Macaca mulatta: one gene and its partners. The protein of the gene in region 3 binds, or shares a complex with, the protein of the main gene of each other region. Links are inferred from orthologs where the notes say so. Each region holds a gene or a part of one and is shown on either strand. Other genes may lie near its edges.

Region 1 (5,170 bases), on a different chromosome or scaffold from region 3:
AATAAAAGAAGGCCGCTCCAACTAGCAGTGGCAACTTGCTCAGGTCCCCTTCTATGCTGTGGAAGCTTTGTTCTTTTGCTCTTGCAATAAATCTTGCTGCTGCTCACTCTTTGCGTGTGCACCGCCTTTATGAGCTGTAACACTCACCACAAAGGTTTGCAGCTTCGCTCCTGAAGCCAGCAAGACCACAAATCCACCAGGAGGGATGAACAACTCCAGACGCACCGCCTTTAAGAGCTGTAACACCGCAAAGGTCTGCAGCTTCACTCCTGAAGGCAGTGAGACCACAAACCCACCCGAAGGGAGAAACTCTGAACATGTCCGAACATCAGAAGGAACAAACTCTGGACACACCATCTTTAAGAACTGTAACACTCACCACGAGGGTCTGTGGCTTCATTCCTGAAGTCAGGGAGACCAAGAATCCACCAGTTCTGGACAAAAAAGGTGTAAACAGCCACAGCCTCGCTTAAAACCCAACCACCCCCTCGCATTTACAACAAAACCCCAGTTTCATACTTTGACACACAGAGCCATGGGACTCCAGCCTGCCCCCTCGCAGCTCTTCCCTCCTACGCTGGGCTCCAACCCCACTGCTGGGTCCTTCTTTCTATACCTAGGAACACATGTGTAGGCCTGTCTGATCCAGCAGATGGCAGGGCCTCAGTTCTCCAGACCCTGCTCCTTAGCCTTCAGGCTTCGCTGCCAACACCACCTCCTAAGGGGGACCCTCCTGCGTCACCCAGTGTGCCTCTCCCCCACGAGGCTCTTTCATCTCTCAAAGCAGCCATGCTGCCCCAGGCTGTAAATTCTCTAGGGGTCTCCACACAGGAGGGGCTCACACACTAGTGAGTGAAATAACCAAATTAGGGCTGGGCACGGTGGCTCACACCTGTTATCCCAGCACTTTGGGAGGTTGGGGCGGGTAGATCACCTGAGGTCAGGACTTCGAGACCAGCCTGACCAACATGGTGAAACCCCATTTCTACTAAAAATAAGCCAGTGGGGCATGGTGCGGGCGCCAGTAATCCCAGCTACTCGGGAGACTGAGGCAGGAGAATCGAACTCTGAAGGCAGAAGTTGCAGTCAGCTCAGATTGAGCCATTTCACTGCAGCTGGGGCAACCAGAGCGGAAACTCTGTTTCGAAAATAATAATAAGCAAATTGAGGAATGTGAGCAGCATCTCGGGCACCAGTACTGTTTTGTAATTGTAGACCGCCTTTCTAAGTAGGCGTGAAGGTAATTGTTTCAGGCACTCTTAAGCCAAGCCAATCGGCGCCCCTACAGCGGAGGGCGCGGAAACTATCCCCAGCCCAGCCCCAGACCCCACTCCCCGCCGCCCCGGGGCCCCCCTGCCCCGCACCGCTCTGTCCACCCCCGCCCCGTCTCCACCCCCACCCCTGTCCCCACCCCACCCCCGTCCCGCCCCACTCCCCACCCCCGCCTCGGCACAACTACGCCCGGTGCCGCGCCTCCGCGCGACTCATGCCTCTCCCCGCCCCTCGCCAGGCCTCGTGCCCCGCCCTCGCACCGCGGCACAATTTATGCCCCGTCCCGCGTCCCGCGCCCCGCGCCTCGTGCCCCACCCCCGCTTCTCCGTGCTACTCCTGCTCCAACCCCGCGCGCGACTCATGGCCCTCCCCACCCCTCGCCACGCCTCGCCTCCGCGCTTCGCCACGCCCCTGTCCTACCTCTACTTCCGCCTCAGGGGAGCTGGGAGCCCGTCGTTTCCGGGAGCGCCGCGTGGAGTTAGTGTTGGCCGCTTTTGGCATGGCGGCTTTTTCTGGCCCAGCTGGGCCGATCCTGTCGCTTAACCCGCAGGAAGATGCCGAGTTTCAAAAGGAGGTGGCGCAGGTTCGCAAGCGCATAACCCAGGTGAGCAGGCACCCTGGTCCAGGCTGCGAGCGGGGGCGACGGACAGGGTCTAGGGGGTATCCGGGGTTGCGCGGTTCCCCGCCCGGACTCCCCTTGCCTTCGCGCACGCCTTCCAGAGTATCCTTAGCGGATTTGACCGAATCAGGGACCCACCTCTTAAGCTTGCAGGCCACGGTTTCTGAGACTAAAGGGTTTACGCTGGTGGGTAAATGATGGAGAGGTTTGGCCGCTGAGGCCTTGGAGCCTTCATGTGGAGGGTAAGGGGGAAGTATTGGGGTGACGGAAGCCGCGGAGGGAACCACCTGGAGGGAATAGGTTCCCATACCACAGGTTGTCTCCGGGTTAGACCTGTCACGCTTCCGCGTTCCCCCCGAAAACGGGGGCCCCAGACTTAACACATTCGGGAGGTTTGTATGCCGGGTTGGTGATCTGGGAGTTATTAAAATAGAGTAGTTGCCAGGTTCCGCTTGCTGACCAGGGCCCCTGACATCGCTTATACTTTCTGTGGTTTTTAGCATAAACTACACAGGAAAACTTAGAAGTTCTTGTTACAGAGGTAAGGGTATGATGGTTGAGACGCTGAAAGGCTAATCTGTATTGTGAGAGTTAGCAAGCGTCTCGAAAATTTTTCGATGAAATGCGAGTAAACAGTAATATGCATACAAAATTGAAGGCTATATTTATGTAGAGTTCTCTGGGCAGAAGATCCAAAATGGCTTGTTCGAAGATGTCCTTGCTTATCCGTTGATTGACATAGTTATTGAGCACTAACATTATACTGGGTGCTGGGATGCCAGGCTGGAAAGATAGTTGATTACTGCTTGGCCATGGCCTTTGTGGGGAGAGAGACACTCAACAGCCACTTCTTTAATTACTACTGTGGTAAGTGGAAATGCGGAGTAGGTTCTTGGGCCTAGGGCTAGGGGTTTTGTAAGTTTTGTTACAATGTGATTTTCTTATTTTAAAAAATATTTAATTTACCTGGTCTTTATGTCTTCAGCGGAAAAAACAAGAACGACTTACTTCTGGAGTAGTCTATGTGGGCCACCTACCTAACCTACTTAACGAAACCCAGATCTTTTCGTATTTCTCCCAGTTTGGCACTGTGACACGATTCAGACTGTCCAGAAGTAAAAGGGTAAGATTTTTAAAGTTGGATTTGACGTTTTGTTTTTCAAATGTGTGTGATTCTTGACATTAAAGAGCACGTTCACATACTCTTATCAGATTTCATTCCAAAAAGAAGAGTGGAGGTTTAGAATCTGAAACATAGAATCCCGGCACATAAACTTGGGTTGTAGCCATAGGCACCTATTTGATTTAGCATCTAGGGGATAGGGTGTGCATCCATCATCTGTTAGTTGTCCTAAAGATACAGATTATAGGTAGAATTGAGGTCCCTTTTGTACCCTTCCCAGTGTTCTTCACCTTCTCCTTTAATTAGGGAATTAAATTCACAAATTCCGTTTTCTTTTTTTTGAGACAGAAGCTTGCACTGGAGTGCAGTGGTGCGATCTCAGCTCACTGCGACCTCCGCCTCCCAGGTTCAAGCGATTCTCCTTGCCTCACCCTCCCAAGTAGCTGGGATTATAGGCACCTGCCACCACACCTGGCTACATTTTTTTTGTGTTTTTAGTAGAGACGGGGTTTCATTAGTTGGCCAGGCTGTTCTCGAACTCCTGACCTTGTGATCCTCCCACCTCAGCCACCCAGAGTGCTGGGATTACAGGCGTGAGCCATCGCTCCTGGCCACAAATTCAGTTTTCATTGCTATATATGTTTATAAGTTTTTACTGTATCTATATATATATGTGCTACAACACGTGTGTACATATATAAATGTACATATAGTATTATTTTAAAATTATTTCTATCATTCTTCAGCTGAATTTTTTTACTCAATAATCTGAGCTTTATCCGTGTAACTCTAGTGCCTTTGTTATCATCATTGCTTGTTACTTAGGTAACTAAAGTTTATCCACGCTCCTATTGAACATTAGGTTTTGTTTTGGGGTTTTTTTTTTTTTTGAGACAATCTCACTCTTGTCACCAGGCAGCTGTAGTGCAGTGGGACGATCTCAGCTCACTGCAACCTCCGCCTCCACATTCAAGTGATTCTCCTGCCTCATCCTCCTAAGTGGCTGAGATTACAGGTACTGGCCACTGCACCTGGCTAATTTTTATATTTTCAGTAGAAACCGTGTTTCACCATGTTTTGGCCAGGCTGGTCTCAAACTCCTGACCTCAGGTGATCCGCCCACCTCGGCCTCCGAAGGTGCTGGAATTACAAGTGTGAGCGAGCCACTGTGCCTAGCCTGAACATTAGGTTTTTTACTATTTTTAACTCTTTACATGAAGCTGCTAGGAACAATCTTTGTGCAGGTATAGACAGATTTTTCTAGAAGAGCATTTTGCAGACTGGCTCACAATAAGAAGTAAGTTTTTACCATCACAGAGAAGATGAGGGTTTTCAAAAAAAGTTTCATAGCACAAACCAGCACACATACACATACATGTAAGCATAACTGAAATAAAAGCCATATGAGACAATATTTAAACTTGTTTTGTGTGATTTGCTGATTTTCTATTTCATTCTATTCAGGGTTTTTTTGGTTGTTGTTTTGTTTTGTTTGAGACGGAGTCTCGCTCTGTCGCCCGGGCTGGAGTGCAGTAGCACAGTTCCTCAGCTGACTGTGACCTCTGCCTCCCAGGTTCAAGCGATTCTCCTGCCCTCCTCCAGACTAGCTGGGATTATAGGTGCCCGCCACCATGCCTGGCTAACTTTTTTTTTTTTTTTTTGAGACAGAGTCTCACTCTGTCACCCAGGCTGGAGTGCAGTGGTGTGATCTCGGCTCACTGCAAGCTCTGCCTCTCGGGTTCACGCCATTCTCCTGCCTCAGCCTCCCGAGTAGTTGGGACCACAGGCGCCCACCACCACACCTGGCTAATTTTTTTTTTTTTGGTACTTTTTTAGTAGAGAGGGGGTTTCACTGTGTTAGCCAGGATGGTCTCGATCTCCTGACCTCATGATCCTCCCGCCTTGGCCTCCCAAAGTGCTGGGGTTACAAGCGTGAGCCACCGTGCTGGCCTTCCCCCCCCCCTCCCCGAAACGGAGTCTCACTCTGTTGCCCAGGCTGGAGTGCAGTGGCGCGATCTTGGCTCACTGCGCCCTCAGCCTCTTGGGTTCAAGCGAATCTCCTGCCTCAGTCTCCTGAATAGCTGGGATTACAGGCGCACACCACCACCCCTGGCTAATTTTTGTATATTTAGTAGAGATGGGGTTTCACCATATTG
Region 2 (5,070 bases), on a different chromosome or scaffold from region 3:
CAGGTACATAAGTACTTTATACTACCATTTCTTTTTTGTTTGTTTGTTTAAATTTTGCAAATGTGATGAAAAGGCTGAGGTATATGTTGTTGGGTAAAACAGGAGTGTTTGTTGATCCATTTCTGCTATCGGAGCTGTCTGATGTACAGTAATGGGAAACTGCATTACAGGTTATGGCTCAGAATCTTAGGATTTGGAAGCTAGACGATTTCCCTGGTTAAACCTTTTAGGACCCAGATGTTCCTAGTGGTTTGAGGTGGCCTTAGGGAGGATATGAAGAGAGAAGAGAAAGAGACAGCCCCACGCTTCAAGTGCTGAGAGGCAAAAGGAGGAAGCAAACTGATTTTTCATGGAGAGGCCAGCAGAAATCGGCAAGAGAAGAAACTGGAGTTTGTGGCATAACTAAAGAATCAAAGGCCGGGCATGGTAGCTCATGCCTGTAATCCCAGTACTTTGGGAGGCCAAGGTGGGTGGATCACTTGAGGTCAGGAGTTCAAGACCAGTCTGACCAACATGGTGAAAACCCATCTCTACTAAAAATACAAAAATTAGGTGTGGTGGTGCACACCTGTAGTCCCAGCTACTCAGGAGATTGAGGCAGAAGAATCCCTGGAACTCGGGAGGCTGTGGTTGCAGTGAGCCGAGATCACATTGCTTTACTCCACCTGGGTGACGGAGTGAGACCCCACCTCAAAAAAAAAAAAATATCCAGAAGTGAAGCTGACCTTGGGGAAAGAGGAAGTCACTATCACTGGGGGGCTAAGGCAGCAGCCCTGTTCTTATAATACAGGTTAAGTATTCCTTACCTGGAATGCTTGGGACTAGAAGTGTTGCAGGTTTCAGAGTTTTGTGTTTTGTTTTGTTTTGTTTTGTTTTAATTTTGGAATATTTGTGTTATAATTACTGGTTAAACATCCCTAATCCAAAAATCTGAAATCCGGAATGCTCCAGTGAGCATTTCCTTTGAGCATCATGTGAGTGCTCAAAAAGTTTCAAATTTTGGAGCATCTTGGATTAAGGATACTCATCTTGTGGTGGTGGTGGTGGTTAGTAGTAGTATTGCTGTTGGACATGGGAGGTGGTGTTTTTGCAGATTGCCCATCAGCCTTTCGTAAGGAGGAGTTTGTTGGTTTTTTTTTTTTTTTTTTTTTTTAGATGGAGTTTCATTCACTCTTGTTGCCCAGGCTGGAGTGCAATGGTGCGATCTTGGCTTACTGCAACCTCTGCCTCCCAGGTTCAAGCAGTTTTCCTGCCTCAGCCTCCTCAGCCTGGCGGGAGGAGTTTGTTGAACTTTCAGAACCCCTCCAGTGAAGGAGTTAGTAGCCTCTAAAGAAATGCGCAACAGGGTGACCCACAGAGTTAGACCCAGTCATTGAGAAACCAGAAATTACTAGGAGAAAAGATAACACTCTTCTCTGCAGAGAGAAGGCAAACATTTGTTGAATTTACATTACATTTCAAGCCCTGTGCTAAACTCCCTAGACTGCTTGATTTGCATTACAGGGTGGGAAGTGTGGTTCAGGTCAGTTGTTTGGGCTGGCCCTAACTCTCAAAGGAGAGGTACAGGTTTAAACCTTTCCATGTCCCTGTAGTCCCCAGGAAAAGACTAATAGGGACAAACTCTTGGTTTGGTTTGGTTTGGTTTGGTTTGGTTTGTTTTTTGAGATGGAGTTTCGCTCTTGTTGCCCAGGCCGGAGTGCAATGGCACAATCAAGGCTCACCACAATCTCCGCCTCCCCGGGTTCAAGCGATTCTCCTGCCTCAGCCTCCCAAGTAGTTGGGATTACAGGCATGCACCACCACACCCAGCTAATTTTTGTATTTTTAGTAAAGAAGGGATTTCTCCATCTTGGTCAGGCTGGTCTCAAACTCCCAACCTCAGATGATCTGCCCGCCTTGACCTCCCAAAGAGCTGGGATTACAGATGTGAGCTACCCCGCCTGGCCAAACTGTTGGTTTTTAAAGATTGTGCTTAGTAAGGTACAGGAAACAAAGGCATCTGGACAATTGGACAGTCCTCAACCAATCCAGAGAAATTTGTTCTTGCAAGGTATGTGAGTAGGTTTTAAACTCAGAACATCAGTTTCCTGTAGAAACAGTGCATAGTGGCATATTTCTGTCAGAACTGCACTCTGACTCCAGAATGTGTGGATGCCTGTGCTGGTGAGAGAACGTGACCACCCTGTGACATCAGGCCTGTGGGAGCATGTGGAGTCTGTGCAGTGTTGGAAACAAATGCCCTGTAGTGCCTGTGAGAGGCACCACTGCCGTGTGATCATTGTGCCTCCTGCTAGAGCACTGAGGCCTGGGGATCCTCTGGTATCTGTAGGTTGTTGAGGGGAGTACATGGGGGATGGGTGCTAACTCAGGATTCCTCAGAAGGAAGGTCGTAATGCCACATGGTGTAAGTTCGTAATCGCCTTAAGAATTAGGGAACTAGCTGCGTTGAGATTGGACAAAGCATACTGGATTTCAGACAGAATTGATGCTACCAGATAATTCCTGGGATTTGATGGCAATCCTTAATCATTATCAAATCTGGAATTCTGGTTTCATACTTCTGTGGAATTTAAAAAGATTTCATGTGAAAATGTAAGTCATTGCTTTTAGATCAGATGTGTCTCTCCTAAACCCCTTCCCTCCAGGAGAGTCTTTCTTTAAAGAGATGGGGTGTCACTACGTTGCCCAAGCTGTTCTTGAACTCCTGGGCTCAAGCGATCCTCCTACCTCAACCTCCCGAAGTGCTGGGGTTACAGGTCTGACCCACCACGCCCAGCTCTTATTTTAAAAGAGTGTTAAAATAAGACAGTTTTATTAAGATTCTTAATAAAAACATAGTTTCGTTTGCTTAAAAAGCACCCAGAATCTTGCTTTGGGGGAAGTTAATCCTGAGAGAATGAGCCTACGGAACAGTAATACTCTCTTTTTGATCACAGGTAAAAGAAGATACAACATTAAACTATGGAAAACTTTCACAGACTGTTTTAACTGTTTACCGATAGCAGCCATCGTGGATGAGAAGATATTCTGCTGTCATGGAGGTAGTTGGGCTGATTTTTGTTCCAAATAGGTTTTGATCCCTTCCAAAGGATGAACACTTTAACATTTGTGAGTTACCATTGGGATGACTTCCTCTGACAGAACACTCTCCTTTGTTGATGTGTTGCATTGCACTGTCACTCCGATACAGCCAGGATTACTTGGATAAAAATCTTAAGGAACTGATTTATTACAGGGAATTCTAGACTCTGTAAATTAGGATTGAAAATAGAGCAGAAAATGTTTATTTTTATTTTATTTTTTGTAAGGATGAGTTCTCACCATGTTGCCCAGGCTGGTCACAAATTCCTGGGCTCAAACAATCCTCCTGCCTTGGACTTCCAAAGTGTTGGGATTACAGGCGTGAGCCACCGTGCCCGGCTCGGAAAAGTATTTTTAACTATAAAATGAACAATATGTAATTTGCTGTGCCAGGGATCCTCTAGAACACTGAAGATGTGAATAGATTTTCCCTTGTTTGTTTTTTATCCTCTCAGAACTTTCTCTGACTTGGATTTTAAAAGTTATTTTGTCCAGGCATAGTAATTCGCATCTGTAATTCCAGCACTTTTGAGAGGCCAAGGTGGAAGGATTGCTTGATGCCATGAATATGAGAACAGCTTGTAACATATCGAGACCCCTGTCATTAGAAAAAGTGTTAAAAATTAGCCAGGTGTAATGGTGCACACCTGTAGCCATAGCTATTTGGGAGGCTGAGGCGGGAGGATCACTTGAGCCCAGGGGTTTAAGGCTGCAGTGAGCTATGATCGCACCACTGCACTCCAGCCTAGGCAACAGAGGAAGACCCTATCTCTAAAAATATATACATACAAATTTTATAAGCTATTTTTCTTTGCTCAGTGGTTGTGCTTTCTATAATGTAATTAAAATAGTAATTGCAAAGAGAATTTCTTTTCATGTATGGTGTGAAATTAATCAGCCATCAAAAAGCCAACATAATGTCTTTTATCTCTGTGCTTCTATACTTACACAGGTTTTGGTAGAGTTGGATACATGGTTTTTAACTCTTATAATATGCATCCCATATTGTAACTCGATACAATGAGCTCTTGTAGATTTTAATGGTCTATGAATAGTGCAGATTTCCTAGAGAACTACCTCTCACTGAGCATCCTTATCTTCTCAGCTCAGTCATTATAAGCCATCAATCGTAACATTGCTCATTATTGTCATCAACTGGGGAAGCCCGTAGAAGAGTTTTTTAAATCACTGGATTTTGTTTTACAGTGTTCTGTATAATATAACTGCCTCCATGTACTGTTTAAACCTGCAGCACCCCATGCATTACTGCATATAATTCTAGTGTGTATCCAGTTGTCCTTTTTCTGTGTGTGTGTGTTTTTTTTCTTTTAACCAAAAGTAAATAAAATATAATCCGATTTCAGTTTTTGTGTCAGTATTATTGAATTTCTCTGTAGACAAATGGAACTTTTGAAGGGGTAATATCCTTTTAAAAGTTTTGCTTTCTTCGTTTTTCTTTTCCTCATTGAATAGGTTTATCACCAGATCTTCAATCTATGGAGCAGATTCGGCGAATTATGCGACCAACTGATGTACCAGATCAAGGTCTTCTTTGTGATCTTTTGTGGTCTGACCCCGATAAAGATGTCTTAGGCTGGGGTGAAAATGACAGAGGAGTGTCCTTCACATTTGGTGCAGAAGTGGTTGCAAAATTTCTCCATAAGCATGATTTGGATCTTATATGTAGAGCCCATCAGGTATTGATTTTGAATTTTACATGTACACTTAAGAGCATGTGTGTGAGCACAGATTCTCCTTGTTGATTTTGGTGGGTAGGTATTGCTTATTTATACAAAGTGTTTCTGGAACACAAGATATCAGGCTCAATGGGAAACTGAAACGTGGTTTTACTTACCTAATATTTGCACCTATTTATACTGAAAAAATTTTCTCTCAAAGGTGGTTGAAGATGGATATGAATTTTTTGCAAAGAGGCAGTTGGTCACTCTGTTTTCTGCGCCCAATTATTGTGGAGAGTTTGACAATGCA
Region 3 (5,070 bases):
GATGAAGCAGCACCTTCCAGACTGTGAATTTGGTGAGCGCCTAGAGCCTGTGTTTTATTGTAAGATGGACGGGTGAACGTGCTCACCCACATCAGCTGTTGCATCCCTGGTGTCCCTGTGGTCTCTAGGACCTCGTCTGGCACTGTCAGATGTCTTCTGCTTCCAGCCTGCCCCAGAAGTAGTCTCTGACTTAGGACACCTGTGTGGGCATCAGTGTCCTTGTTGAGCCTCCCCTCTTCCCTCTCTGGAACAGTCTATGGGCATCTCCCCACTAGGACTTCCTGCCCACCATCCAGACACACAAGCCCTCCGCCTCCACTGGCTGCCTGGCTATGCAGCAGGTATTGGGGAATCTTTCCTCTTCTCGGCAGTTGAAGCTTCCTGATTTGTGCTGAAGGTCTGTCTGGACAGCTGTACTTGCCAGAATTCTGTATCTGAAGAGGTTATTGCTACACCAGTTTCGTTTGCTGAACTCACAATATGGTAGTTTTAGGTCCAAATTTTGTGTGTGCTAAGAATTACACTTATACCACTCACAAACAGGGAGCAATTCAACCTATTTTTATTTTAGCTAAATCAAGTATTCCCCAGAAGAACACTAATGGAATCTAATCATTCTTATCGATTTGTCCACATGCTTGTAATTATGTGTGGCTAAACTTGATGTGAGTTCAGTAGCACTTAAAGCTCATTAGCTTAGATAGTCTCTGGCTAGAGGGGGGTTGGAGGGCAGAAGCACTCCCCACTGATCAGGAATTCTCACATAGTCAGCGTGTGTCTCAGGGCCACCCCAACCTCTGTTCCTTCTACCTTTCCAAAGAATTCCTTGGACATTTTTCTGTTTCAATAGTTTGTTTTTTTTGGGGGGGGGGAAGAACTTTTCTGTTTCAATAGGTGTTTTTGAACTACAGAAAGGCTGAAGACAGCTACCTGCAATTGTATCATGAGGTACATCATAAGCAGTCAATTAGCCACTAGACAAATTCCTTTTCTTTCTGAAGAAAGTCTTCATAATGTGAATTTGCTATTTGAAGTGGAATCCCCAAAGCAGACACAACAAAATATAACTAAAATGACAAAACGTATGTCTTAGGATAATGCTCCTTCCATGAATGTAACTGGGAGCTGGCAGAGGGCTGTTGAAAATAATGCTTTTTGTTTGCCTTTGCAACCTTGGGCAAAAAAATAGATCAAAACACTGTCTCTTCTAAAAACGGAAAACAGTAAATAGCTTACCTTCTTTGGATTTTCTGCACACCTCTTGACACTCCGCGTTACTCTCTGCACAGATTCACTCTCCAAAGTGCTTGCTGCAGACTGGCTTTTCGTCTTTCTTGATCTCAAACACATGGAGTCTGAATTTCCTGCTTCTCCTTTCCCTTCCTGATTCTGCATGAGAACCCCTGCGCTCTTCTGCCCTCCGCTCTCCTCTGCCACCTTAGGCTGGGAGCTCTTATTCGGTCTCACAGACCTCAAGCACCTTTTGTTTTCACTGACTTTGCCTCTAGGTATGGGTTTCCAGGCTCCGTCATCTGGATTCTGAATGTCCATCTCTGGGGAGGTCTTCATTTCATTTCTGTTTATTTCTATTCTTTCTGCTAATACCAGGACCTCAGTTATTTGCTGTTCTACATCAGTCTTATTTTGGCGTCTGGAGCGCAGGGATATTCCCTAAAGAAATGAGAAGACATCCACAGAATTCCAATAATTAGTAAAACAAATTCAAAATTCAACAGGGAGAACAATCAACAATAGTAAACTAAAAGGAGAAATCATTTGAAAATTACTCACTGATGAATTTTCTAAGAAACCTGTCATCTAAGATAGTCAAGGTAATGCCTTGGTACTTTGTTCCTATGGAGAAATGACTGTCTCTGCTGACAAATTACAAATAAGGCATTCAGGATAAATTTCAATAACAATGCCTAAAAAGACATATATCAACTCTAATTTTTACAGTTTATAGAAAGAAGCTCCATTATTCATTCATTTACAGAGAGTAAATGAACTCCTATTCCTTTAACCATCACTGCTAAGGCAGAATAGGAAATTACCATTTCTGGAGTTTCCCCAAACTTCTCCGGATGCAGTAGGAACCTCTCTAACAGTCCAGACAGTTCCCCCCTTCTCAAGAATACACACTCCCTATCGATATTGTTCTGATAGTTAAAATAGTGACATAGATATTATTTTTAACCCAGTCCTGGTCTTGGTGACAGTATCTAGAACATAGAACTGAACCACCCACCTATCCTCTGATCAATTTTTCAAACATATGAAGATGAACATTACTCATTTGGCTCTTGAGAAACTCTTCTAAGTTTGCATTAATCATTTTATCATTTTTGACTCGTTCTTTTCCCAAATTAGTCTGTTCCCTTTATAGGTCCCAAGAAGATTCTTTACCATGGCCTGCAGTTGTTCACTGTGTTAAATGAAACCCATTTGGGAAATAACCACTTATTTTTTTTTTTTTTTTTTGAGACAGTCTCGCTTAGTCGCCCAGGCTGGAGTGCAGTGGCGCGATCTCGGCTCACTGCAAGCTCCGCCTCCCGGGTTCACGCCATTCTCCTGCCTCAGCCTCCCGAGTAGCTGGGACTACAGGCGCCCGCCGCCTCGCCCGGCTAATTTTTTGCATTTTTAGTAGAGACGGGGTTTCACAGTGTTAGCCAGGATGGTCTCGATCTCCTGACCTTGTGATCCGCCCGCCTCGGCCTCCCAAAGTGCTGGGATTACAGGCGTGAGCCACCGCGCCCGGCCATGATAACCACTTATAATGTCAGGTTACATGCAAAGTATAACACAGAAACTGACAACTATCCAGGATGATATTGGGTGATGTTGTAATACTTCCTCTCACCTTATTTTCAGGGACCGAGTCTTGTAATTTGTGTTCCTCTTTGTTGGTTTTCATGTTGTTGCTGTTCAGCTCTACCACAGGTTCAATTCTTTTTGCAGAAGTCCTCAAACTTCTCTTCATGATGACCATGGGTTCCGGTGATTTGCCTCTCGCCCTGGGAGCAACCCTCTGCTTCTTGCTGGCTGGCAGCTCCTCCGTGATCTCCTCCGGCGCAGGCATGCAGCGCAGCCTCTTGGTTCCTGTGGCGCTTCCATCTTTGCCACCTCCGCTCTTGAAGGGCAGTGGGGGCAGGGAAGTGTTGCTTTTGCTCTGTGATTTTACAGGGTCTGTGGTACTTACCAGGTCTGCCACGGGTTCTACTTTAGGGGCCCGAAGAACTCTTCTGGATGTTTTTAGAGGTTTTCCACTGTCAGGTGTTTTCTTTGGAGCGCTTGTAAAGCTATCAGCAGCACCATTTGCCAGTTCCTCAGTGTGGCCTGGTGTTGGAGAGAGCTCTGGGAAGCTGGCCAGATCTTCTAGGGGTTGGGCCTTTTCCTTAGGTGCTCTTGGCCGTCTCCTGCTGCCAATTACATCTTCTGCGTCCAGCTTCCGCTTTACAGGTTGCTTAAATGCTTTCATGCCTTTGTCCTCGCCTACCGGCTCTTTGTCGGTGTGCGCGGTCTCCCCTGATGTTTGTGTGAGACTGCCGACTGCTAACAGCTCCTCCTTCACTGCTACTTTCTGGGCACGTGTCCTGGGCCGTCTCTTTGAACTTGTTGCAGTGTCTACTAGTTCTGGTGATGATTTGCAGGGTATTTTAGTGGTTTTGTCATCAGTCATTGATTCTTCAGTGTGACCCGGTGCTGGGTCTTTGAAGTCAGCCAGGTCCTCTAGGGCTTGGGCATTTTCCCTGGGTGCTCTTGGCCGTCTCCTGCTGCCAGTTACACTTGCTGCTGGAGCCAGTGTCTGTTTTGCAGATTCCTTCACTGCTTTGATGCCTTTATCTTCACCTACTGGTTCTTTATCTGCGTCCGTGGTTCCCCCTGATGTTTGTGTGAACTTAACTGCTGAAGGCTCTTCTTTTACTTGTACCTTCTGCACACGTGTCCTGAGATGCCTCCTTGTGCTTGCTGTGGTGTCTACTACTTCTACTGGGGGAGATTTGCAGGGTATTTTAGTGGCTTTGCCAGCAGTCAGTGGTTCCTGAGTGTGACCTGATGGTTCAGAGAGCTCTTTGAAGCCGGCCGGGTCTTCTAGGGGTTGGGCCTTTTCCTTAGGTGCTCTTGGCCTTCTCCTGCTGGGTTCCTCTTCTACTGGGTTCGGTTTCTTCTTTGCACGTTGTTTAAATACTTTGATGCCTTCATCACCACTTGCTAATTCTTTGTGTGTGTGTGTGCTTTGCCCTGATGTTTGTGTGAGCCTCTCAAGTGCTGAGAGCTCCTCTTTCACTTCTTTCCTGAGACGTGTCTTGGGGTATCTCTTTGTGCTCGTGGCAGTGTCTGCTGGTTCTGCTGGGGGAGATTTGCAGGGCATTGTTGTGTTTTTGTCAACAGTCATTGACTGTTCAGTGTGACCTGGTGCTGGGAAGAGTTCTCTGAAGCCAGTCAGGTCTTCTAGAGCACTGGCCTTTTCCTTACGAGTTCTCAGCTGCCTCTTGCTACCAGTTACATTTGCTGCTGGGTCCAGGATCTGCTTTGGAGACTCCTTAAATGCTTTGATGCTCTTACTATCTCCTGTTGGCTGTGTGTGTGTTTGCGTAGTCTTCCCTGACGTCCGTGTGAGCTTGTTGACCGCTAGGGGCTCTTCTTTCATGTCCACTTTCACCAGGGATATCTTGAGCCTTTGCTTGGAGCTTCTTGAGGTTTTGAATGACTCTGGCTGTGGAGATTTGCATGATACTTCTGTCATTTTGTCATCAGTCATTGATTCCTCAGTGTGACCTGGTGTCTGGAAGAGCTCTTTGAAGCCAGCCAGGTCTTCTAGAGCCTCAGCCTTTTCCTTAGGAGTTTGTGGCCGTCTCTTGCTGCCAGGTAAATTTCCTGGCAGGTCCAGGTTCTGCACTAGAATTTCCATAAATGTGTTATTTTTCTCATCACTTACTGCTGGTTTGGGTGTGTCCATGGCTTTGCCTGCTGACGGCGTTAGTTTCCTGAGTGCTAAAAATTCTTCCTCTACGTCTGCTTTCCTGAGACTTCTTTTGGGCTGTTGCTTTGTGCTTGCTGGGGTGTCTG

The links.
Region 1: the proteins of MKI67 (region 3) and NIFK are in contact, whole or in part, in an NMR structure (PDB 2AFF), measured with the Homo sapiens proteins. The link is inferred for Macaca mulatta from reciprocal best matches to the Homo sapiens genes MKI67 and NIFK. Residues at the interface, in NP_002408.3 of Homo sapiens: Thr9, Ile10, Lys11, Arg12, Ser13, Pro18, His19, Phe20, Pro21, Ser23, Leu24, Arg31, Gly32, Ile33, Glu34, Cys35, Asp36, Ile37, Arg38, Ile39, Gln40, Leu41, Pro42, Val43, Val44, Ser45, Lys46, Thr66, Asn67, Ile91; in NP_115766.3 of Homo sapiens: Val228, Asp229, Ser230, Gln231, Gly232, Pro233, Thr234, Pro235, Val236, Cys237, Phe241, Leu242, Arg245, Gln248, Val249, Leu252, Asp256, Lys257, Asp259, Glu260, Ile261, Val262, Phe263, Lys264, Gln265, Pro266, Ile267.
Region 2: the proteins of MKI67 (region 3) and PPP1CC are in contact, whole or in part, in a crystal structure (PDB 5J28), measured with the Homo sapiens proteins. The link is inferred for Macaca mulatta from reciprocal best matches to the Homo sapiens genes MKI67 and PPP1CC. Residues at the interface, in NP_002408.3 of Homo sapiens: Arg504, Arg505, Val506, Ser507, Phe508, Gly509, His511, Leu512, Arg513, Pro514, Glu515, Leu516, Phe517, Asp518, Glu519, Asn520, Leu521, Pro522, Pro523, Asn524, Pro526, Leu527, Gly530, Glu531, Ala532, Pro533, Lys535; in NP_002701.1 of Homo sapiens: Val19, Arg20, Gly21, Ser22, Lys23, Pro24, Lys60, Tyr70, Asp71, Leu73, Arg74, Glu77, Tyr78, Lys168, Ile169, Asp242, Leu243, Tyr255, Phe257, Arg261, Pro270, Asn271, Ser284, Asp286, Thr288, Leu289, Met290, Cys291, Ser292, Phe293.

What each region holds. Positions count from the first base shown.
Region 1 is NC_133417.1:15,727,263-15,732,432, forward strand, and holds the start of NIFK (MKI67 FHA domain-interacting nucleolar phosphoprotein), read left to right. Parts: upstream 1-1,724; 5' UTR 1,725-1,771; coding exon 1,772-1,876; intron 1,877-2,876; coding exon 2,877-3,014; intron 3,015-5,170.
Region 2 is NC_133416.1:117,903,947-117,909,016, reverse strand, and holds part of PPP1CC (serine/threonine-protein phosphatase PP1-gamma catalytic subunit), read left to right. Parts: intron 1-2,936; coding exon 2,937-3,041; intron 3,042-4,554; coding exon 4,555-4,778; intron 4,779-4,980; coding exon 4,981-5,070. UniProt on the Homo sapiens protein: Protein phosphatase that associates with over 200 regulatory proteins to form highly specific holoenzymes which dephosphorylate hundreds of biological targets.
Region 3 is NC_133414.1:140,141,032-140,146,101, forward strand, and holds part of MKI67 (proliferation marker protein Ki-67), read right to left. Parts: coding exon 2,861-5,070; intron 1,672-2,860; coding exon 1,237-1,671; intron 1-1,236. UniProt on the Homo sapiens protein: Protein that associates with the surface of mitotic chromosomes and acts both as a chromosome repellent during early mitosis and chromosome attractant during late mitosis.